Linked DNA regions of Notamacropus eugenii. The protein of the gene in region 1 interacts with the protein of each later gene in a biochemical or structural test. Links are inferred from orthologs where the notes say so. Each region holds a gene or a part of one and is shown on either strand. Other genes may lie near its edges. The genes, in order: RPTOR, RPS6KB1 and AKT1S1.

What was found.
Region 2: of the proteins of RPTOR (region 1) and RPS6KB1, one has a biochemical effect on the other in vitro, tested with the Homo sapiens proteins (6 studies listed by BioGRID and IntAct, with this or other methods). The link is inferred for Notamacropus eugenii from reciprocal best matches to the Homo sapiens genes RPTOR and RPS6KB1.
Region 3: the proteins of RPTOR (region 1) and AKT1S1 interact in a biophysical measurement, tested with the Homo sapiens proteins (2 studies listed by BioGRID and IntAct, with this or other methods). The link is inferred for Notamacropus eugenii from reciprocal best matches to the Homo sapiens genes RPTOR and AKT1S1.

Annotation. Positions count from the first base shown.
Region 1 is NC_092873.1:323,392,039-323,399,435, forward strand, and holds the start of RPTOR (regulatory-associated protein of mTOR), read left to right. Parts: upstream 1-4,339; 5' UTR 4,340-5,158; coding exon 5,159-5,320; intron 5,321-7,397. UniProt on the Homo sapiens protein: Component of the mechanistic target of rapamycin complex 1 (mTORC1), an evolutionarily conserved central nutrient sensor that stimulates anabolic reactions and macromolecule biosynthesis to promote cellular biomass generation and growth.
Region 2 is NC_092873.1:372,682,503-372,690,374, forward strand, and holds the start of RPS6KB1 (ribosomal protein S6 kinase beta-1), read left to right. Parts: upstream 1-4,837; 5' UTR 4,838-4,926; coding exon 4,927-5,067; intron 5,068-7,872. Other genes in the region: TUBD1 (tubulin delta chain), read right to left, coding at 862-1,033. UniProt on the Homo sapiens protein: Serine/threonine-protein kinase that acts downstream of mTOR signaling in response to growth factors and nutrients to promote cell proliferation, cell growth and cell cycle progression.
Region 3 is NC_092876.1:12,094,143-12,101,410, reverse strand, and holds the start of AKT1S1 (proline-rich AKT1 substrate 1), read right to left. Parts: upstream 3,063-7,268; 5' UTR 2,972-3,062; coding exon 2,790-2,971; intron 2,606-2,789; exon of another isoform or gene 2,476-2,605; intron 2,152-2,475; coding exon of another isoform or gene 2,026-2,151; exon of another isoform or gene 1,685-2,025; intron 1,611-1,684; coding exon 1,213-1,610; intron 1,110-1,212; coding exon 880-1,109; intron 755-879; coding exon 611-754; 3' UTR 1-610. Other genes in the region: TBC1D17 (TBC1 domain family member 17), read left to right, coding at 3,362-3,382, 3,728-3,829, 3,941-4,015, 4,668-4,791, 5,442-5,649, 5,754-5,865, 6,024-6,185, 6,321-6,449 and 3 more. UniProt on the Homo sapiens protein: Negative regulator of the mechanistic target of rapamycin complex 1 (mTORC1), an evolutionarily conserved central nutrient sensor that stimulates anabolic reactions and macromolecule biosynthesis to promote cellular biomass generation and growth.

The DNA.
Region 1 (7,397 bases):
TAGAATATTACAAAAAAGAAACTATATTTTAATATAGAGGAAATGACTTGTCAGTGATGGGGAAATCATTTCCAAATCTTTGCATGCCAGACAACTGGCTTATTAAAGATAAAAATCAATATTCTATTAGAAGAAAGAATGTCCTTCCTCTCTTCTCTATAACAGAAGAAGCCATGGAGTGCAATTGAAACAAATCTAACTTAATTATTTAGGATTTTAATAAGGCTGACAAAAAATTCAAAATGTTCAAACCACTGATAGGTGGAAAAAGTGATGAATATAGCAAAGTAAGAAGTAAGGGAAATTGTCAAATAATTACCTGAGAGAACGTACTGGTTCACTGAGAAGCATTTCTATACATTTAAAGAACAAACACTATTTGGCAAATTATCCTTTCTAAGCTTTAGTTTTCCCATCTGTGACTACATGGTCTCTAAGGTCCCTTTGAACTATATAACATAAATTTTTCTAGAATACAGACCACAGTGGTGTGTGACCCAATTCTTCTTATGATACAAATATATTTTTTCTTTGAAAATCTGACAAAGATGAAGCCAGAAATGAAAGCCACATGCCAACTTCTCTTTTGAATTTAGTTGTAAAAATACTAAATTAAATCTTAGCAAAGAGTATAACACATTCAAAAATCTCCGCCATGAACAAATATGGTTTGTCCCTGGCATGCAAGGTTGTCACAGAACAAGAAAAGTTACTAGGACAATGTATCACATTAAAAAGAATATAAAAATACAGGAAAATCTGGAATCTTTAGGAATAAGTGGTGCTCCCTCTACTAACATGGATAGCAGTACTAATTCAATATTATCTAGAAAGTATTCCATAACGTTAAATCACTATAATAGACTAGAACCCTAAATAAACTGGATGTAGAAAAGCTAAGTTAGGTGCCCAGGGAAGAGATGCTGCCTCTGATTTTAGGTGATATCCCATAAGTACTAATTCCTTGGACTACAGCTATGGTATTAGCATTCCCAATATATAGAACTGTAACTCATGAGCCCCCATCAGCTTTCTTTTAACAGCTAATTAATAGACTGACAGCTAGGGGCAGGCAGGTGGTACAGTGAGTTTGGAGTCAAGAAGACCAGACTTCAAATACAGCCTCTGATAGTTATTGGCTGTGTAACCCTGGGCAAGTCACTTGCCCAGTTTCCTGATAATAATAGCATCTATCTCCCGGGGTTGTTATAAGAATCCAGTGAGATAATAATTGCAAAACACTTAGCAGAATGCCTAGAATGCTATAGTAAATGCTGTATGAATGTTGGCTGTTGTTATTATTATTAGAACCAATTAACTCTTAAGAAAGACATTAACTTACATGGCATAGTAAGGACAGAAGCTATAAAGCATTTCCCTGTGAACTTGGGATGTACTTACCCATGACTGCACACAATATTTGTGGTAAGAGTGGTCACAAGGCACATCTGTAAGGAACACATGGCCAAGGCACCTCACAACTCTGGAACTTTAGGGTCTCAATGTCCTTTCTCTCTTCTCTACAATAAAACAGTATCTCCATTTCCTCTCCTCTCATTGTTTTCTAAATCCTTTATAAAGTCTGACTTACAAACTCATCATTCAACTGAAACTGTCCTCTCCAAAGTTATAGATAATCACTTACTTCTCAAATCTAATGGCCTTTTCTCAGTCTTCATACTTCTTAACCTCTCTGCAACCTTTGACACTGCCAATCAACCTTTTTTGGTCACAGCTAGGTAGCACAATGGATAGAGCTCTGGACTTGGAATCAGGAAGAACCAAGTTCTATTACTGCCTCAAACATTAGCATTATTCAATCATGTCCTATTCTTTGTGACTCTATTTGGGGTTTTCTTGGCAAAGAATCTAGAGCAGTTTGCCATTTTCTTCTCCAGTTCATTTTACAGATGAAGAAATGGAGGCAAGCAATGTTAAATGACTTGCCCAGTCACACATCTAGTTAGTGTCTGAGACCAAATGACTTTTCCTAAGTCCAAGCCAAGCACTCTATCCACTGTACCATGTAAGGGCCCCAGACACTGGCTGTATGATGTAAAACTCTTTGCTAACTATATAGTGCTATGAGAATTCTCACTGTCCTGGATTCTCAATTTTCATACCACTATGGTTCTCCTTCTACCCTTTGGACTACTTCTTCTCCATCCCTTTTGTGCTATCTTCATTAAGGTCATACCCACCAAACTTAAGTGTTCCTCAAGGGTTTGTCCTGGTCCTTTTTCTCTTTCTATACTATTTTTCTTCGCAACATCATCTCTGAAGGATTTAGTTATCAACTCTATGATGATGACTCGAAGATCCATTTATTCAGTTCTAACTTTCTTCTCCAATAACCTTTCAATAACCTATTAGACCTCCCAACATGTCCAAAAACATAACTCATTATATACTTAAACTCTTCCCTCTCCTCCAACTTCCATATTAATTTTGAGGGCATTGCCATCTTCCCAAGTCATCCAGACTCTAAACTGACTTACCTGCACTTATTCACTTTGTTGTCAAATGTTGTCATTTTTGCTGTTCAGCTGTTTCAGTTATGTCTGACTCTTCATAACCCCATCTGGGGTTTTCTTGGTTTGCCATTTCCTTCTTCAATCCATTTGACAGATGAAGAAACTGAGGCAAAGGGGGTTAAGTCACTTGCCTTTGGTGCCTGAGGTAGGATTTGAATTCAGGTTTTCCTGACTCCAGGCCTAGAATTCTATCTTCTATGATACCCAAGCTGTCATTTCTACTTTCACACCATCTCTTATACTCATTCATCAGCTATTCTGGTGCAGAGCCTCATCACCTCATTTCATGCAGTGTTGCAACAGCTTTCTGAGCTGCTCCAGGTCTCTCCTACTCCAATCCATCCTCCTTTCAATTTCCAAAGTGATTTTCCTACAGGGCAAATCTGACCATGTTACTTCCTCCCCCCACATGTTCAGTCATTTTTGAGTCATATCCAATTGTTGGTGACCCATTTTGGGGTTTTCTTGGAAGAGACATTGGAGTGGTTTGCCATTTCCTTCTCCAGCTCATTTGACAGATGAAGAACACAGACAAATGGGGTTCAGTGACCTGCCCAAGGTCACACAGCTAGTACGTGTCTGAGGTCACATTTCAATTCAAAACCATGAAGCTTTCTGACTTCAAGCTCACCATTCTATCCTTAAAGGCAGGGCCTTCTTTTTTTCTTTTTCTTTTCTTTGTATCCTGTTCATGGGACCCTCTCCTCATACAATACATAATAAGTGCTTAATAAATGCTCCTAGATTTGATTGGAAAAGGAGAAATATGAGAGAGAATGGGGGATGAAGTTCAAGAGTTTTGAATTGTCAAAGGAGAGAAAACTTTCTCTCCTTGACAGCCGTCAAGTCCAAATTGAAGAGTGGCTTAGTGAAGGATTATTTTCTTGGTCTGATCACACTCTAAGTTGCTGGTCCTTTTATATGAAAATGAACCACTCTGGGGCTTCATAGTAATTACTTGAGGAGGGGAAGTTGGGATTAGACTGATAATACCATTCCTATTCATACCATTCCTCCTTCACTATAAACACACACACACATACATATACACACACTTATGTACACACAAAGATAAATATGCATACACATACATATATACATATGTGTGCATGTATGTGTGTATATATGGATATATACATGTATGTATGTATGCATGTGTGTGTGTGTGTGTATATATATATATATATATATATATATATATATATATATATATATATATATATATATATATATATATATATAAAGAAACTTGCCTCAGAAGGTGAAATAAATTGTTCCAGGGTTTGCAGACATCACAAGTAAGTCATCATAGAAACTTGTACTGATTTTCTTTCACCATGCTAGCCCCCCAAATAAAACTTTCACAAACAGTAGAATCCTTGAAAGAAGGTACCCCTGGTATCACCCAAGATCAAGAAAGAGCTATGACTTTAAGAGTGTTTTTTGTGAAAATTGGAGAAAGATGGTCATCATTAACTTTTCCATTTTACTTCACAGCAAATAATAAAAAAATCTCTCTCTCTCCCTTTCTCTCTCTCTCTCTCTCTCTCTCTCTCTCTCTCTCTCTCTCTCTCTCTCTCTCTCTCTCTCTCTCTCCCTCCTCCTCCATTTCCCCCCTCCCTTTCTCCAAAAGAAAAAATAAGAAAAGAGAAAAGAAAAAACACATCCCTTAATGCTACTCTACTTTTTCCTTCATCACTAAGGGGATGGGTGTCAGTAGCACTTTCCCTTTCTACTGCTTTGGCGGACAGCTCCAGGAATTTCCTCAGAAAGTTTGACCTTCTGGGGGCTCCGTAGATCGCTATGCATTGTGGGCCTTAGCAATATGGCGTCCCCCTTGGTGTGCTGATGAGCGGAGTTTCTCTCTCTGTCCCTGGACGACGAGGGGAAATTCCTCAAGTCAAACGATCTCTTTCTCCGTCGCCCAGGAGGGTCCTGTACCTGGCGTTTCCCCTCTCCCTGCCCTCAGGCCTAAGGGAGTGGCGGGGAGCCTTTGGGCGGGGACGAGCCAGGCCTCGGGAACCCAGGGTAGACCTGACGGAAGCCTCCCGCAGGCGGACACTATGGGCCGATCTTGGCTTCGGCTGCAGCAGCTCCGGAGAGTGCGGGGTCCGCAGGGCTGAGAAGCGCCCCGAGGAGGATCCCTGTCCCCCGTTCCCCGTCGCCTAGCCCCCTCTCGGATCTCCCACCCGCCTGACCGGCGGCCCGCAGGCAGCGACAGCTTGCGACCTTCCCGCCCGCCTCCTCGGGATCGACCGGAGGCCGGTCCGGCCCCGGTGGCCTGGAGCAGGGTCATCGGAGGTCCGAGGGCTCCCACGCTTTTGACAGCTCCATTCTCAGCCAGCTCGGGGCTCCATCCGACAGCCCACGAAGAAGTCGGTGTGGCCTGAAGCCCGGGGGCGTGGGCCCCTGGCCCTGGGGTTCTTGGCATTCCCACGCGGAGATAAGCCTCGGGAACTTGGCCAGCCCCCCGCTCCATACTGGGACGGCCTCGCCAGTGCTTCTCTTTTCCCCGCATCCACCCCTCGTTCCCATATTTCATCCTTTCTGGTGCCCACGACTCTCTAAGGCTGGAGGTTCTCGAGCGTTTGTTGCCCAGGACTCCCCCACCTCCTCCCACCCTCATGGAGTCCGAGATGCTGCAGTCGCCTCTTCTCGGGCTTGGGGAGGAGGACGAGTCCGACCTGACCGACTGGAACCTGCCTTTGACTTTCATGAAGAAGAGGCACTGCGAGAAGATCGAGGGCTCCAAGTCCTTGGCCCAGAGCTGGAGGATGAAGGACCGGGTAAATAACCGTCCTCTGCTTCCCCTTTAACTGTGGTAATTTTCCCTCCAGGGGGATCTCAGTCTAGTCCGGGTGAAGCCCGGGGCAGTATCTTGGGTGTTGTGCGGTCCTGTCTACCAGCCACATGTTGCATATCTTCTGCACCTAACAATCAAGTGGTACTTCTGCTCTAGTTTTGTTTTGTTTTTTTAAAAGAAAGACCAGCCTGAAAAACTTCAGGTGACTGATAAAGTTAGAATTAATGTAGAAAGAAACTTACTTTATTTATGGTTACCATTTTGTATACAGCTCAAGGAACATATTCCCTGCCATTCTGGCTTGGAGAAGAGTCGATTACAAACCACAAACTATTGCTTATAATTAGTGATTAGTCTACTTTTTAAACTTTTACTACTAATTAAAATGAAAAAAGTAAATAGTGTGTGGTAATCACGTGGGGCCACAAGTAAATCTAAGTTATGGAATATGGTCAGAACTACTGCCGGAGGTGGCAGCTGGTGAGATAAACTTTTGTTTTCAAGATAGATATGGATTGGACCTGTGATTTTATTGCTATAGGGAGCTCTTAGGTAAGAAAAATTCTCAACAGTAATAATGCAGGTCTACATCGTGCAACTTGCTCAGAGCACTGAGAGGTTAAGGGACTTGATCTAGTCAATATGTATCAGAGGTGGGTCTGGAACTCCTGTATTCTTGGGCTTCTCTATATACACCATTCTCATGGACCCTCTGTTTTCAAGACCCAATCAGTTTTAACATTCTAAGTAACTTGTCATAACCCCAAACTTTCCATATTTTACATGGCAGGAAATTGGAGAGAGGATTTCCAGTACAGTGAATTAGGTAATGTGGTGGATCGCCATTCCAGGCTATTGTTTCGGGAGGGAGAGAAGAAACTACTTGTGTTGGCAGTGACTTTGGGAGGCTTCCAGTGGGGAAGAAGATGGGTTAGCCAGGTAGTATTACTGTATCTGATATTCATATGCATTGCATATCCACATAACTTTCATCACAATAACCAAAGAAAATGAGTTGGACTACCAATTTCCCAGCTTCTTTTTCCATTCATTTAAATCCAATTTCACTAAAGGTGAAATCTTTAGTATTCCCTTAAAAATCACAACAAATAGGTATAAAATTACACAGGAAAATTTCTAATTTAGCCAGTCATTAGTATTTTTGGTATTTTGGTGACTTTTACTTGTAAAATGAATGGAGAAGATCTTTCATAAGCCAAAAAGTAAAGTATAAATGATAAGATCCTCAAGAATTGTGGACATCCTTTGGAGTTAATGTATGTCTTTGATGCTATTTAAAGGCTTTGTAGTTCTTGTGGTTGCTGTGAGCGTTTGAATAGCAATATTTTGTAAAACAAATCCATCCAATTTTTTAAGTATAATCTTGGTGCACCCTGCTTTTTTTCTAAAAAAGCATCACATCTTGTTTTTAATATGACAGAAAAGTCTTTCATAATGACTAGTTGTGAAATGTAGCTCTTGTTCTAAATCTGATGTTTCATCTGGCCAAAAGTGATGTGATTTCTTTTAACTTTGACTTTTTAAAACTAAAATTCTAAGTTGGGAAAGGCAAAACTCCTTAATAAGCTCCTTACAGAACACTGAGAAGAAAAATAAAAGTCCTGTAGTTCTGAATACCTTACTGAGAAGAATATTTTCATTGGCTGTGAAAATAGTCTACACTATCAGTTTGTAAATGACCTTTTGGAGTAATTTTAGAACCAACTATTATCTTTCCATTCAAAGATGCCTTGGGAAGTTGGGTCCATGGCTTCTCTCTGATGAGCCACTTGAGGGGATGTCACTTAAGAAACTTCCATTAGAGAGACGACCGTAAGCAATCACTATGGTTCCAGGCATACAAGCCAGACTATTCCATTGTTCTAGAAGGCATCTTTCTTCATGGTTAATTGAACATCATACTCATCCAAAAGTTCTACTAAGTACCTGATTTCACTGCTTCATCATCGGATCACAGATTTAGAGTTGGTACTGACCTTAGAGACCAACTCTTTGATTTTGTAAGGCCCAGAAAGGGGAAGTAACTTACTCAAGGCCTC
Region 2 (7,872 bases), about 49 Mb from region 1:
AAAAAGACCCACATGTATAGCAGCTCTCTTTGTGGTGGCCAAGAACTGGAAATCAAGGGGATGCCCATCAACTGGGGAATGGCTGAAAAAGTTGTGGTTTATGAATGTAATAGAACACTATTGTGCTATAAGAAAAGATGAACAGAACTTCAGAAAAAGCTGGAAAGACTTATGTGAATTGATGCTGAGTGAAGTGAGCAGAGCCAGGAGAACATTATACACAGTTAACAGCCACAGTATACAAGGACTGTTTTTGATAGACTTAGCTCTTCTCAGCAATGCAAGGACCTAAATCATTTCCAAAGAACTCATGATGCAAAATGCCATCTACATTCAGAGAAAGAAGTATGGAGTCAGAATGCAGAATGGAGCGACTATTTTCTCCTTTGTTATGTTTTATTTTGTTTTTCTCATGGTTTCTCCTATTTGTTTTAATTCTTCTATGCAACAAGACTAAGGTGAAAATGTGTTTAATAGGAATGCATGTGTAGAACCCATATAAAATTGCATGCTATCTTGGGGAGGGAAGGGGAAGAAATTTGGAATTTATGGTAGTGATTGTTGAAAACTGAAAACAAATTAATAAGTATGGGGGAAAAAAAAGAAAACCAAACTTCCCAATTTTAAATAAAAATTTCTTTGGCAACATTTGTTGAGTATCCACTGTATACAAAGCAACAGGTATTTAAAAAAAAATTAAATTGGATACAAAGAGACTTATGGACATTTCTTTTTGCTTCCTGCTTAAACAGGCAATACTTTTATTTTCCATAATTGGTATTCTAGGGTCAATATTTGTTAAAAGGAAAAAAAAGAAACAATGCGTTGTTCTCAATGTTTATCGCCACCTTAATTACATACCTCCACTTTTCTCCTCATTAAAGAAATGTTCTTTGCAAGATGCCTGATATACTTCATTTTCCCTCTTAGAGCAGAATCCCTGGGTATTATTTAAGTCTCTACATATGGCATCAAATACTTCATAACCAATCTGATTGCCACACTGACCAAGCTGAATTGTGACTATTGACATGGCGACCAAACCTTTTCCTACAAAGAAAGTGAATAAAGCAGAATAGGAAACAATCATGTCTTTCAAAATAACTACAGATTATCATCAAGGGCAAATAAAAACACATACGCATACATCAGAAAGTAATCACACATTAAGCAACATTATATAACAGTAATAACATTCAGGCTTAGCTGAAGGGAAAAACAGAACTTCGAAATTCCTAGATTATCTCTGACAGTGAATTAAAAACAGCATCAGAAATGTATTTCTGTCCCTGAAAATTACTTCGCTTTAAAAAAAGTTATCTTCTCTTCATGAGATAGGATGGTATTGTATTGCAAATATGCTTTCTTTGCTATGGGAAACTCCCAAAAAAACGAAACGTTTCAATATGAGTGACCCCTGCCCTGCTACTTAAGAGTCTTTCAGGGGTAGTTGCCTGAGGCAAGGAAGGTTCAGAGACTGGCCTGGATTCATATATGGGATTTGAAGCCAAGTCTCCTGATTCCAGGGTTGGATCTCTAATCATGACTGTGGATCTCTAACCATACTGTTTCTCATCTTCCTTTCATAATTAAGATACATACATTGGGAGTTACTATCTGTAATGAGGGAGTAGGAATACGCTAACTACTGGGAAATGAGTGCAAGCAGAGTACAAGGCAGATGGAGAGAAGTTTGTTGGTGAAGGTATGTGGTTAGAAAAAATCTTGTTTTTGGTATGATCCACAAGGCCTCATGACAGGTAGTATTATTGTATCTTTGGTAGTATGGAAGCCTGTCGCACAGCAAGAGAAAGATGTAATATGTTCTGGTCTGGGGGTTGAGGCCTTCAGACAACCATAAGCAGGCCCACTTAACCACTGGGCAGTAACTATTGTTTTATGGCAGTTCCCCATGCAGTATGCATAGCAAGCTTGTGCTTATGTGTGTGTGTGAGAGAGAGACTGAGGTTTTTTAAAACAGCTTTTTCAGGTAAATATTTTATTTTCTCTCTTCCCTATCTTCTATCTACAAAAAGAAAAGAAAAACAACACCCTTGTAACAAATATCAGTGGTATCTGATGCAGGTATTTTTCCTACTCTGCTGCTTCTCTTCTGATTCTTTCTTCACTGATTTTATTTGTGCCACTGTTTTTGTTTTTTGCCAGTTTGATAAATGTGAACTGATAACTCCAAGTTTTTTTAATTTGTATATGTTTGATTACTAATGAGACTGAGCAATTTTCAGGTAATTTTTCTGCATATGACATGAAAATTAATGAAGACATCAAACTGGTTTAGCAAAGGTGCAAGATATCCACATTAAAGATCAAGAAAACATCATGAAAAAACACTTTATTTACAATAACAACAAAAATTGGCAAACATTTGGCAATTAAGCTACCTACGAATATGTATAATCTGTAAGAGGACAGCTATATTTCAATGATTCTAGTTTTACAGGAAGATGTAAATAATTAAATATCAGTGATAATAACCACCACAGTTGAGATGATTGCTTGGATTTTTTTTTTTACTGAAGACATCAAAAGATCAGATGTGCCTTCATCAGTATGAGTACTATGGATGAGATTGAAACCTCTTCACACATTAGAATATAACTGTATTGTTTTGTTTTGGTGACACAACCAGTCAGACCACTACTTCTCAGTATCCTTCAATGGCTCTTCTTCCAAGTCATGCCCATTCATATGGGGGTCCTCCAAACCTCTGTTCTCTTTCTCTCTATGTTCTCCCATGTGGTGAGCTTATTAACTGCCAATGGTTCCAGATTTCCAGTGGATGATTCCCATATCTATATATTTTGCCTTAGTCTCTCTCTTGAACTCCACTCCCATATCACCAAGTGCTTATTCATAATGAATGTTCCGCAGGTACTGCAAACTCAACATATTCAAAACAGAACTCATTATCTTTCCCTATAAACCCACACTTCTTTCAAACTTTCCTGTTACTGTCAAAGGCACCACCATCCTTCCTGTCACTTTGTTATAACAACAAGCTTGGTGTCATCCTTGACTCCTCATTCTAATCTACTACACATATCAAACTAGTTGCCAAATTTTGACGTTTGTGTCTCCATTGAAACTCTCAGAACATAATCTTTTAAGTATGCAGACACATTTAGAAAGTGAAAAACAAAAGGTGCGTATCAATAAAAACTGAGGCACCATAAAGAATTTTTGACAAGCCTTCCTTCCTTTATCTGGAACATCAGATTCTCTGTCAATTTTTCCTCAAAGCAATGATTTTGTTTTTGCCAGTAGCAGAATACCCTACAGTTAGAGTGAGAATATATGGAGACTTCACCATCCTTCCAAGCTTAGGTGCCCAGCACCTCTATTAGCCCTTACAAGAAAAGTTCAGTCACTCAGTTCAGGCATTTACCAAGTGCCTACTTTGAGCCAGGCTCTCTGCAAAGGTGGGGATATAAAGAAGAACCAAACCAAAACAAACAAATGCCCCCCCCCCCGCCCTTCTCATGGCACTCGGGGTTTGATGGGGAAGACAACATACAACCATGGACAAACTATATACATACACACACACGTGTGTATGTAAAACATATACACACACACATATACATACACACACGTGTATGTAAAACACACACACACACACACACATATATATATATACATGTAAAATTGGGGTAGTCTCAGAGGGAAGGAAGGCGGCACTGCCCAACGCAGAGGAAAAGAGCTGTCAGTAGGTTAGTTGGCATTCAAGGCACAACACAGAGAGTAGGGTCGAGCTTTTCTTTGCATCCCTAGCGCTTAGCATAGTGCCTAACTAAAAGCTCGTGGACTTCACCAGAACAAGGAAAAAAACGGAAATAAAAAAGGCGGCGGGCTGGTCACCCGGCAACAGCCTCTAGGGCTCTCCATGGGGATGTCAGGCTTATTAATGTGACTGGGCAGGCACGGACGGTGGGGATCGGCCCAGTCGGAGGGAGAAAACCCCATCTACGAGACCACTGGTTGGGAGGCCGGAGACTTCCAACCCCGGCCCCGTGGGGGTCCTGGACAAGACACACGCCCTTTGTGGGGCTCAGTTTCCTCACCGGTACGATCAGGGGGCTGGCCCTGCCGCCGCCGGGCTCCAAGGTCCCTTCCAGCTCTTACTACGCTCCTACAGTGCCAGGTTTCTCCGGAGGCCCGCGGCGAACGTCTCCGACGGACAGGGTAGCAGCAGGGACTTGGTTTCACTGCAGAGGAGCTCAAAGACCAGGGAAAAGGAAGGCCGTGAGGCCCGGAGAGGAGGGCGGAAACCGCCCAGCGAGGCCACCTCGGCGAAGGCCCCAGCTCGAGCGAATGAGAAAGGAAGACTCCCTCATCTCGGGCCTAGGCCCTCACTCACCGACGGCTCCGAGTCCAGCCGAGCTTTAGGGTCTCTGCCACTACCCCCAGAATAACGGCTCTCCACTCACGCATGCTCACTGTCACCAACTCATCCCTCCCCAAACATCCCTCCTGCGCATGTTCGATGTCCGCACTCGAGACTTCAGAAGGATAAGTGCGCATGTTCCGTTCTGCGAACCCTTCTCTCGATAGTTCTCCCTCCCCTTCTTCAGCTGGTCCAAAGTTATATGCAAGTTCTGAGTTCAGTTCATCAATTTCAGAAACGATACGCATGCGCACAGTTTATCAAGCGCTGTTGGAGCAAGAGATACACAAGTTTATACCCTCGGCTTCAGGTGAGGTTATGCGCATGTCTAAGCCTCTACTTCGCTCCCAGAACAAGAGCTAATTTTGCCCATTGCCCATAGTTCGGCTTCATGGGTAGTTCTGCGCATGTGCAAATGGGTGAGCTTGCGGTGTGAGCCTAGGGCCTGAGCGCAGTCGCACTGATACCCGGCAGCTGGTGATGGCGGCGGCAGCAGCGGCGGCTGCGGCGGGTCCGGGCCCATGAGGCGGCGGCGGCGGCGGGACGGATTTTACCCAGCGCCAGACTTCAGAGACGGGGAAGCTGAGGCCATGGCAGGAGTTTTTGACATCGACCTGGACCAGCCGGAGGACGCAGGCTCTGAGGATGAGCTGGAGGAAGGGGTGAGGCCCGGGGTCGGGGGCTGAGCCGAGCCAGGCTGGGCCGGCTGGGCCGGGCGGAGGTGACAGGGCCGGGGCGTAGGCTCGGGCCTAGGGAGCCGGGCCGTTCCAGCGACCTCGCCTGCGGCGAGAGCCAGAGGCTGGGGCCAGGACGCAGGCCAGCGGAGCGGGAGGGCGGCCGGCGGCCGAGCAGCGGGCTCCGCTGTGGAGTCGGGTGGCGCGGCAGGACCAATCCCGAGGTGGGGGCGGCTGCTGACGGGCGCAGGTGCACCAAGCTCCCGGCCACCACCCCCTCCCGACCCCGGGTCTCTGGTGGCGGGGGTGGCGCGAGCTTCAGGGTGACCCTGGAGCAGCGGGTCTGGGAGGCGGCCGCGGGGGAGCAGGGAGGGGTGCTTGGTGCGGGGAGCTCAAGCTGCTCCCCAGCCTGGGGTCCCCGCTCCTTGCGCTCGCCCCGGCGACTTGGCGCCTGCCAAGCGTCCGCTCAGCTGTTGGATGACAGCTGAAAAGTTCTGCGGGCTGGGCTTTGCGGCAGCAGCCGCCCTGGGAGGGTGACCTGCAGGATGCAGTTTCGGGGGGAGGGTTACGGGGTGATTCTTTAAAAGCTGTTTACAGTGTAAAACTGTGATGCCCCTCTTCCCGATTCTCCCTCCGCCCGCCAGACAAGAGGTTTGTGCGGTTTTCTGATTTGGGAGTTGAAAAAACGGTGCCGGCAGCTGTGATTTGGCTTCCCCCAAATAAGTTGCTTTACCTGGGACTTGTTAAGTTGATGGTTCCAGGGCCACCTTGCTGTATGGTAGGACTACTTTCTAGCTTACTTTAAGTAGAGCTTGTTTTTGTCTTTTATTGTTCCTTTTGCAATATTTCTTTTTCCAGGCCAGATTGTACTTAAGGATTATTTATTAATTTTTAAGGTGTTTTTTAGAGTTGGCGAATCTAAAATAATTTATTTCTCTGCTCATGAACATCATTGGTAAGGCATATATTTTTGTACTTCAAAAGATCTGTGATTTCATTTCATCTTTGTGGGTAACCCTCCCCCCCAAGATGATCCCTTCACAGGCTTCACACCTTAATAGATACCCTTTTTTCCCCCCTCCTGGCCTGTGATTTCACCATCAGTGTAGGGTACACCTTAGAGGAAACTGAAGAGGTTGCATCCTTGTCAGGTCTTAATATGTAGTGTTTTTGTTTGTTTTTGTTCTTATCTGTAATTGTATCAACCTGAGGGGGAACTCGTGAGGAATTGCCTACTGCTACTGCACATATAAAATGTATGGTTTGAATTTCCTGGAACTCTGAGAGGTTAAGCTAGTATGTGTCAGCTTGGGAAAATTTCTTGGCCAATTCTAGTATATAGTTTTGTGAGTTGATATGGCCAAAATAATTCATTACAGTCAGCGTTTTGATGATGAATTTTTCCAAGCTTAGACTGTTCCTATAAGAACATTTGTTAATAACAGTAATTAATGGCTAGTGTGTTACATGTGGTAGACACATATATGTATATATACACATGTATGTATATACATATATATACACATACATATACATATATACACTCGTTACTTTCAGGCTTGGTGAACGCTTTATCATCTCATTTTTTATTGGCCCTGTACTCCATCCTTTCTAGCTTGGTAAGACTTACCACTTCTAGAACCTAATATCACCACCACATCCTGATGAGACATCATCCTAGGTCTTTAGACATGAGATTTAAAAATATTAATGAGTTGGATATTGAAAGTTCTATTTTGCTTCTCATTTTCCTTTTAAATTTAAAAAAGAAAATTCAAATAGAATAGTAATCTGAAAGTTGAGTAATTTAGCAACACTTTGCTTGTGTTATTGGGATGTTATTTAACTGCCCAATTCCATCCTCATCCCCTCAAACAATAGTAACGTTTGCATATTATCAAACTGATAAATGTTAGGGTTAAAAGATGTCATATATATACATATATATGTAAAAACATACACACATATATTATAGATAATATTTATACACACATACATACATGTATATATTTATGTAAAAGACATGTATAAATAAAAGATACCGTTATGTATGTACATGCAATATATATTTATAGGAATACATTTTCTATATGAAGATCTTTGAGTATCTTAAAGGGAAGTTAAAACAGGAATGAATAATGCTGTTCTTTTCATGATCATCTTTACCCTCTAAATCTACCACTTCTCCCAACTTCTTTATTTTTCTTTAGTATCATGCTCCTAGTTTTGTAACTCAAAAAGTAATCTTGACTCCCTTGTTCCCCAGATCCACTTAGTTTACGTAAACTTCATAACATCTCTCCCATCAGTTCCCTTCTCTTTGCTCACAGACTGCACCCTAGATCAATTCTGAATCTTTTCTTTCATGATTATTATAATGATCTCTTAATTGATCAGTACTTTTATTTTCCACCCTCTCCAATCTGTCTTTTCACTGACTTGCTAAAATACTCTTCTTGAGGCACTGATCTGATCATGTTATTCCTCTGCTTAAAAAGCAACTGTTTCCTTGTTGCCTCTACAAGAGAACAAACCCCTCCACCAAGCTTTTGAAAGCTCTTTAGCTCCAAACTGCCTTTTCATACTTATTTCTACAACTTTCCCTTCAGGCAGGCTACTCACTGTTGCCTGAGCTCTCCAGCTTCTTTGTATTTGCATAAGCCTGCCTTGGTTCTAGGAAGGCCCTTCACTCCTTAATAGCTCAGCTCAGATGAAGTTCCTCCCCCTATTTTCTCCTGCCCCCCAGCTAGTAATTCTCTGTTTGTCTTTCCTTGGATTTATAGGCTTCTTGAG
Region 3 (7,268 bases), on another chromosome or scaffold:
CCCCCGAGGGCGAGGGGTAGCTGATCGGCTAAACCCTTCCCAGGAACAGGCCAATAAGGGGTGGGTAGCGTCATCGGATAGGGACTAATGCAACTGGGCCATCCCTGAGGTGGGGCGGAACCAGAACAGGGCGGCTGTAGTGTCGAGAATAGGGGCTTCTCCGTAGTAAAGTCTTTCCCCGAACAGCGGGAGCCACTGGCAGTTCAGGCATTGATTGGATCCTCCTTAAAGGGGAGGACCCAAAAGAACTAAGGCTGCGGTTGGCCAAGGGGACAACACAAGGGCCATACGAGGAGCTGATTGGATGCCCCCGCACCCTCCCCTAAAGGATGCTCCGGGAAAAGAGCCTGGGATTGGCCAGGGCCTGTGGAGGAGTGGAATTAAGAGGAAACTCGGGGAGTCGATTGGATACTTCCATTACCCTCCCCCAACGCACGGGAAGAGCAAGAAAAACGGAGCCCCAGAGAAAGGGAGGGTGGGGCAAAGAACGGATCCGGGATTGGCCAGGTCTGGACGTGCCAGGGGCGGGGCCAGAGGGCAGGGAATGGGGGTGGGGGAAGAAGGAAGAAAAAGGATAGGCGAAAGGGGAGGCGCAGACAGGCGCCCCCCCTCAATATTTCCGCTTGAGCTTCTGAAAGTCACTGGTGTTGAGGCGGGGCCGGGGTAGGTCTCCGAACACCTGGGAGCCTTCGGCCTCGCGCAGAACCAGGGCCTGCATGCTGGCCGCAATGCGCTCAAGGTCCGGGGAGGAGGGCTGTGGGCAGGGGGCAGCTGGTCAGCCAGGGCTACTCAGGGTCCCCTCCCTGCAGATCGAACCGCCCCCACCCCCCACCCCCCACCCCCCACCCCCCACCCCCCACCATGTCCACCGTCACTCACGGGCCCGTTCTCCTCATCCGAAGACCTGGTCTCCGTTCTCTTGTCCTTGAAGCCCCATACTGGCACGGAAACCGGCAGGGACTTGGCATACTGCTGGGGGACCTGGCTCACACACGGAGGGCCGGCTGGTGCCTCTTCGCTCAGGCTCCCGTCATCGGTGCTCTCAGGGTCAGATTCACAGAATGGGGGCAAGTCCTCGTGGGCAGTGTCTTCGTCCATCACAAAGAGGCCTGAAGGAGGGTGGGGGGTCTTGGTTCCCAGTTCTGACCTCCCAGGCTTCCATCCGGCAGAGCTTCCCTCTGCACCCACTCCCTCCTTCTGGCTCCTTCTTACCTCCGTCATCTCCCAGTCCTAGCCTGCTCCCTGAAGTCTCTGTTTCTGTCTCCTCCTCGTCCTCATTGCCGTCCTCCTGCTCCTTCTTGTCTTCTTGCCTCCGAGGATGGGGAGAGCTCCTTGGGCTAGGGGCCTGGGGCTCCGGTGCAGGGCGTGGTGCAGGGGGCCTGGCAGCCGCGGCCCGGTGGGCCTGTGCTATGTCATGTAAGCAGCGCCTGGCAGCTTCTGCCAGGGCGCCCCGGCCATGGGCTGCGTAGGCACAGGGGCCTGGCCGTGGTGGGGGCGGGGGTGCAGCTGTCAGCAGCACCAGCTCCGTACCTGTCTGTGCCCGAAAACGCTCTGCTGCCCCCACCACGGCTTCCCATAGCTCCTCAGGACGCCCAGATGCCATCCACGCCCTGGTGAGAGAAAAGAGAGTGACTCAGGTGGAAGCCGCGCATAGTGGCCCCCCCACTCACACACTTACACACACCTTAACAGAGAAGGGGACTGAAAAAGCTTGAAGAGGCTGTTTAGTGCAATGCCCTTCTTTGACAGAAAAGGCCCCAAAAGCCCAGAGAAGACCCTGGCCGGGCCGTCACCCTGTCTCTGCAGAGGCTTGTACAGAAGTCCCGACAGACACCGCCATGGGGGGAGCAACCGAGGTTACAAAGCGGTAGGTCTCACGCCGGTTCTAGGGCCGGTGACATAGAACGCCCGAGGGGAGGGATCTGGGGGCAGGGATAATCCAGGGGGATTAATGGGAGGAGGGAAAAGGCCGCAGAGTCCGGAATTGCATCCAGGTTTCCACCTAAGAGAGGATCCCCTCCACACCTGCCACCAGTTCCCCCAGTTTGGGCATGGAACAGTTGCTCAGCTCCGCCCTCCACGTGGGAAAACAGGAAGTCCTGCCCCTTGTGGGCGGGGCAAGGAGTTCCGAGGTACGAAGTAGCCCCAACCCTGTGGGGAGAGGAAAGAGGAAATCACCCCTCCTCCCCCTTCGCCCCGCCTCCCCACTCCCCAAAGAGGAAAACGGATGTCCCGCCTCCCAGGGGTTGGGAAAGCTAACGTCGAAAGCCGCCTTCTCGAAGAGAAGGCTGAAACCGGAAGTCCCGCCCTTGCGTGGGAGGGGGCACGCCAGGAGCCGGACCCCAGACCACCCCCCTCCGCTCCCCCATCATCCCGACATAGGTTACGGGCTTGGATCGGAGAAGTTCTGGAGTGAGCGCGGGGCCTCGGCCCCCTCTCTCCACGCGAGGATGGCTGCGCTGTCAGCTCGCTTACCTCGGCCGGGCTCCTGTCTCCCTGCCTCCCTCCCCGCCAGCCTTCGGTCCTCCCCAGGCGTCCGCGCCGCAGCCGCTCACGTGCTTGCGGCCAGCATGGCGGGCCTGGCGCCCTCACAGGGCATGGCGGCCTCGGCGTCATTTCCGCCCGGCGCCAGCCTCGCCGAAGCGCTCGCGACTCGCGGTCGGCGCGTCTCTGCAGCCTACCCTCGTTCTGCAAGGAGGGGCCCACCTGACCTGCCCTTAAACATCATGGCGGCCGCGCGGCTTCACGCCCCGCCCCTTGCCGAGGTCCATGGCGCTTCCGCCACAGACCTTATCCCTGAGGGGGCCGCTCCGCCTCCTGCCCGCGAGCATGGCCAGGTACAACCACGTCCTCGCCCCGGGGGCCCGCGACACCACGGCCCCGGCCGCTGCCTTCCTCCGGGTGACTCCCGCTCCGCTTCCCTTCCTCCCCCCACTTCCTTGCACGGAAGTGGTATGCCCCGCACTAACATGGCGCTCACAGCGCTGCGCAGCTCGCTTCTTTGAACGATGGCAGCACCGCTGCGGCATCCCTAAAAATCCAGGCGGAAAAGGTGGGGCTCTCGCGGTGGGGCGAGGCTTGGCAACTTCCGTCTTTGTTTACTTCTTGCTGGGAGCCCGCATGACGCGCCGGCGCACTGCCCAGTCTCAGCACCGCCCCCCCCATTGCATCTGCGCAGAACGCATTTGTTACTCTTCTCCCTCTTCTATTAGTGGTTTGATCCGCTGACGGCCGAAGGAACAAGCGGACGCTACCATTTTACTCCCATCGAGGGGAGGTTCGTCCCGCCGGATGTGACGTAAGGAATTTGTCTCCGGAGGCGGAGCGAGCTAGGGGTGTGGCCTCGGCCCCAGCTGCGACTATGGAGGAAGCTGGCTACCGGGTAAGAGGTGGCGGAGAACCTAAGAGGCCTCCTGTTTGACCTTTCCTTCCGTCCTTTAGGAACCTGGGTCCTGCCCTTCTCTGACCCTTCCCCACTACCCTTCTGGCCCCCGATCTCTTAGCGCACGCGTCTCCCTCGGCCTCGAATCCTCGGTAAAGCGTCAGCTGCGCTGATCTTTCTGCGCATGCGCCCCTGCTCAGGTACCGCCCTTGGGCGGAACTGCTTCCTCACTTCTGGCTGTGCGCATGCTACCCACCCGCCCCCGGGCACCCGCCTCCCCCTTTTGCCCGCTTCTGTGCACGTGTGCAGGCTCCTGCTGAGCCTCAGCCTCATCCCCACCTGTAGGTGGTTTTCGAGAAGGGCGGAGTATACCTGCACACGAGCGCCAGGGGGCGGCACCAGGACCCGGGCTCGCTCATCGCTGGCGTACTGCGCCTGCTCGAGAAGGTGGGTTCCCAGCAAGTGGGCGTGGCTTGGGCCGTGGGGGCGGCCTCGGGCTAGCTGGGCGGGGCAGCCCTGGGTCTCCCATTTCTTCTCTTTGTCCTTCCCTCCCCCCAGGACAATGACGTCATCCTGCATTGGGCCCCAGTGGAAGAGGCCGGAGACTCCTCCCACGTGGTTTTCTCTAGGAAGGTGGGCACCCCGCCCCCCCAGGGTCTTCTTCCTGGGGTCTCGATGTGTTCGGTTTCTCCTCCCCCTCCGTGTCTGGGGGGCGTGCCCCCCAAATCAGGCTGGAAAGTTCTGGCCCCCCACCCGCGTGTTCAGTCTCCCTTTCCCCACGACCCTCCCATCCTATCTCGGGGTGTGTTGGCGTGCACCTCCCCTCACACAGTTGGATCGCCCCTTTCCTCTGGGAATATGTGGGGCCCCCCGTATATCTAGGTCTCTGCTGTGCATTTGGGGCTCCCTCCCCAGGAGTTTTCAGGGCCTCCCATACATCTAGGTCTCTGTTATCTCAGGGCATGTCTAGGGGCCCCTCCCCAGGATATATGCAGCCTTCACAAATTCAGATATCCCCTCTCCTCCAGGGTATGTTCAGGGCCCCACCCCCTTGTGCTGTCTCAGATCAGTCTGTTCCCCTTTAGGGGGCTCAGTGTCTACTTGTCAAACCCACGGTGACAGGGTCAGAAAATCTGGACTCAAATTGATGTTTGGGGTTTTGACTTTTTGGTCCCATTTTTACCCATTGGTGTAATAGGGTTGGGTCACCTTGTTCCAGGGGTGGGTTCTATAAATGCTAGGGCAGACCCAGGATCCAAGATTTTACTATTTCATTTTCCCTCAGGAGCCTAGTGGGGGAGACCCCTGTCCATCAGAGGAAGAACCTACCTTTGACCCTGGCTATGAACCCGATTGGGCTGTGATCAGCACTGTGCGGTCCCGGCCCCGGCCCCCTGAACCTGACCCAGGTAAGTCCATTAGTCCCTAGCCCGATAGGACCTAGGGTGGGGAATGGCCTGGACTTGGGCCCTGACCCAAGGACATTGAGAACAGAGATGGGAGAAGATATATAAGGAAAGCGTTCTGGATTGGAGGGCTTGAGCTGGGTTTCAGAGGCTAGGGGTGAGAGAAGTGGAAAAGAGTCCTAGTTCCTGAGGCAAGTGGCAAGATCACCACGCGGGGCAGGACCAGACAGCCTAGGTCTCTGTTTGGGGATAGGATCACGGGTGGGGGAGATTCTGTCTGAACAGCAGTCCCCAAAGTAGGGGAATGACCATGTGAAGGGCATGGAGGAAGCAGAGCGATTAATGAAAGAACAGAAAGGGAGGATGGCGGCAAAGCATTAGTGATGATGGTGGTGGTGGGGTGGTGGCTCCAGACTTGGCAATTAGGGGACCATTGACCACCTGCAAGGGGGTAGAGTGTTTTCAGCCAGGGTTTGGGGGCAAAAGCAATATTGTAAAAGTTTGGAAAGCATTGGTGGTAAGGAAATAGAGGCAGAAGGTACAGATAGTCCTTTCTAGAAATCGGACCGTGCCAGGTAGGAGAGGGCAGGAGGCCCTCCAGGAGTCATAGAGGAAGGAGAGATGGGTGAGAGCCTCTTGCTCCCTCCCTCCAGCTGCAGGGTCGGGCAGCTCCCGGGGTCCCTGGGCCTTCTCAGTGAGCCTGGGGGAACTGAAGTCGATACGGCGCTCCAAGCCAGGCCTAGGCTGGGCCTATCTGGTGCTGGTGACCCAGGCGGGCGGCTCCCTGCCAGCTCTCCACTTCCACCGGGGGGGCACGCGGGCCCTGCTGCGGGTCCTCAGCCGATACCTGCTGCTGGCCAGGTCAGTTGGCACCAGGTGCCCCTTGTGTCCCACCTCTCCTCAGCCCCCCACCCCCAACGTGTACCCATCCTTCATCTTTCCTTTTTTTCTCTGCTGGGCCCCAGCTCTCCCCAGGATTCGCGCCTCTACCTCGTCTTCCCTCACGACTCTTCTGCTCTCTCCCACTCTTTCCATCATCTTCAGCTCTTTGATGACGACAGTTCCAATGTGGTGTCTGTGAGTCTCTGGTCTGAAGGCTGGAGGGGGCCCCCCTGGGCCTGGGCGAAACAGGGAGGAGGGAAGAGCATTCCCTGGGGTAGGAAGAGAGGGGGTCTGTATTGAGGGGAGTGGGAGGGAGGCACACTATCACCTTCCCTCTTTTATCCTTTCTTCAGCGTTTTCTCCAGGATCCTTATGCAGCCACCTTTGGTGGTTTCTCACGGGTGACCAACTTTTTTCGAGGAGCCCTTCAGCCTCCCCCTGATGGCCCCCCTGCCCGCTGTCCTGAGGCCCTTGAGGATGAGGAGCCAGAGCCTGGCTTTGAGGTCATCTCCTGTGTGAGTACCTGAGGGTCAAAGTCAGGTGTGACCCAGGGTGGATGGTCTCTGAGTAGCTCTGGATGTCCTGAGAGGAGGTAGGGGGGTGAATCATGGCTTCAGATCACCATCTCTCCCCATGTGGGGTCAGTGCAGGTGCAGCTGGGGCCCCGGCCTGTGGTTTCCCGGGGACAGCCGGTGACAGAGGACATATGGGCCAGCCACGTGGGCCCAGATGGGCGCCTTCAGAATGTTGGGGAGCTCAAGGCTCAGATCTTTGCAGGGGTGAGTGGGCTAGGGTGCCTGCAGGGAATGAGGGAAGGGGATGGCAATGCAGCCATTTGTGTGACCACTTTGTATCTTCTTAGGGTTTGTGCCCCTCTTTGAGGAGGGAGGCCTGGAAGTTTCTTCTTGGTTATCTCAACTGGGAGGGCTCAACTGAGGAGCACAAGGTCCACATCTATAAGAAAACGTGAGTGAAAGAGCCCTCTGACCCCAAGTCATCCAAGAGAGCCCTGTCCCGGAGCCCTGGCCTTGAGAGACTTCCAGTTGTTGGTGGCTGGGGGACAAGGCCTGATTGTGATGGTGGTCTGCTGCTGACCTCTTCCCCTCTTCCTAACCCCTTTCCCGGTGGCATCAGGGATGAGTATTTCCGTATGAAGCTGCAGTGGAAGTCAGTGAGCCCTGAGCAGGAGAGGAGGAACTCGTTGCTTCATGGCTATCGCAGCCTCATTGGTCAGTGCTGTACACATGGGTCAATGGGGATGACCTGAGGTAAGGGTTGCTCCAACCTGAGTTTCTGTTTCCCTTTCCTGAAGAGCGCGACGTGAGCCGTACTGACCGCAGCAACAAGTTCTACGAGGGACCTGGGAGTCCAGGCCTGGGCCTGCTGAATGACATTCTCCTCACCTACTGCATGTATCACTTTGACCTCGGTGAGAGCGGGATGGGCATCTCTGTGGGATGGGTGGGAGCTGGTGGTACAAAAGCCTGGGTGGAAGATGATCCATCAAGAACTCCCCAAATGGCAGACTTTGGGCACACAGGAAGTAAGGGAACTTGTGGTATCCATCAGCAGCTCACATCCTACCCCTTGTCCATGCT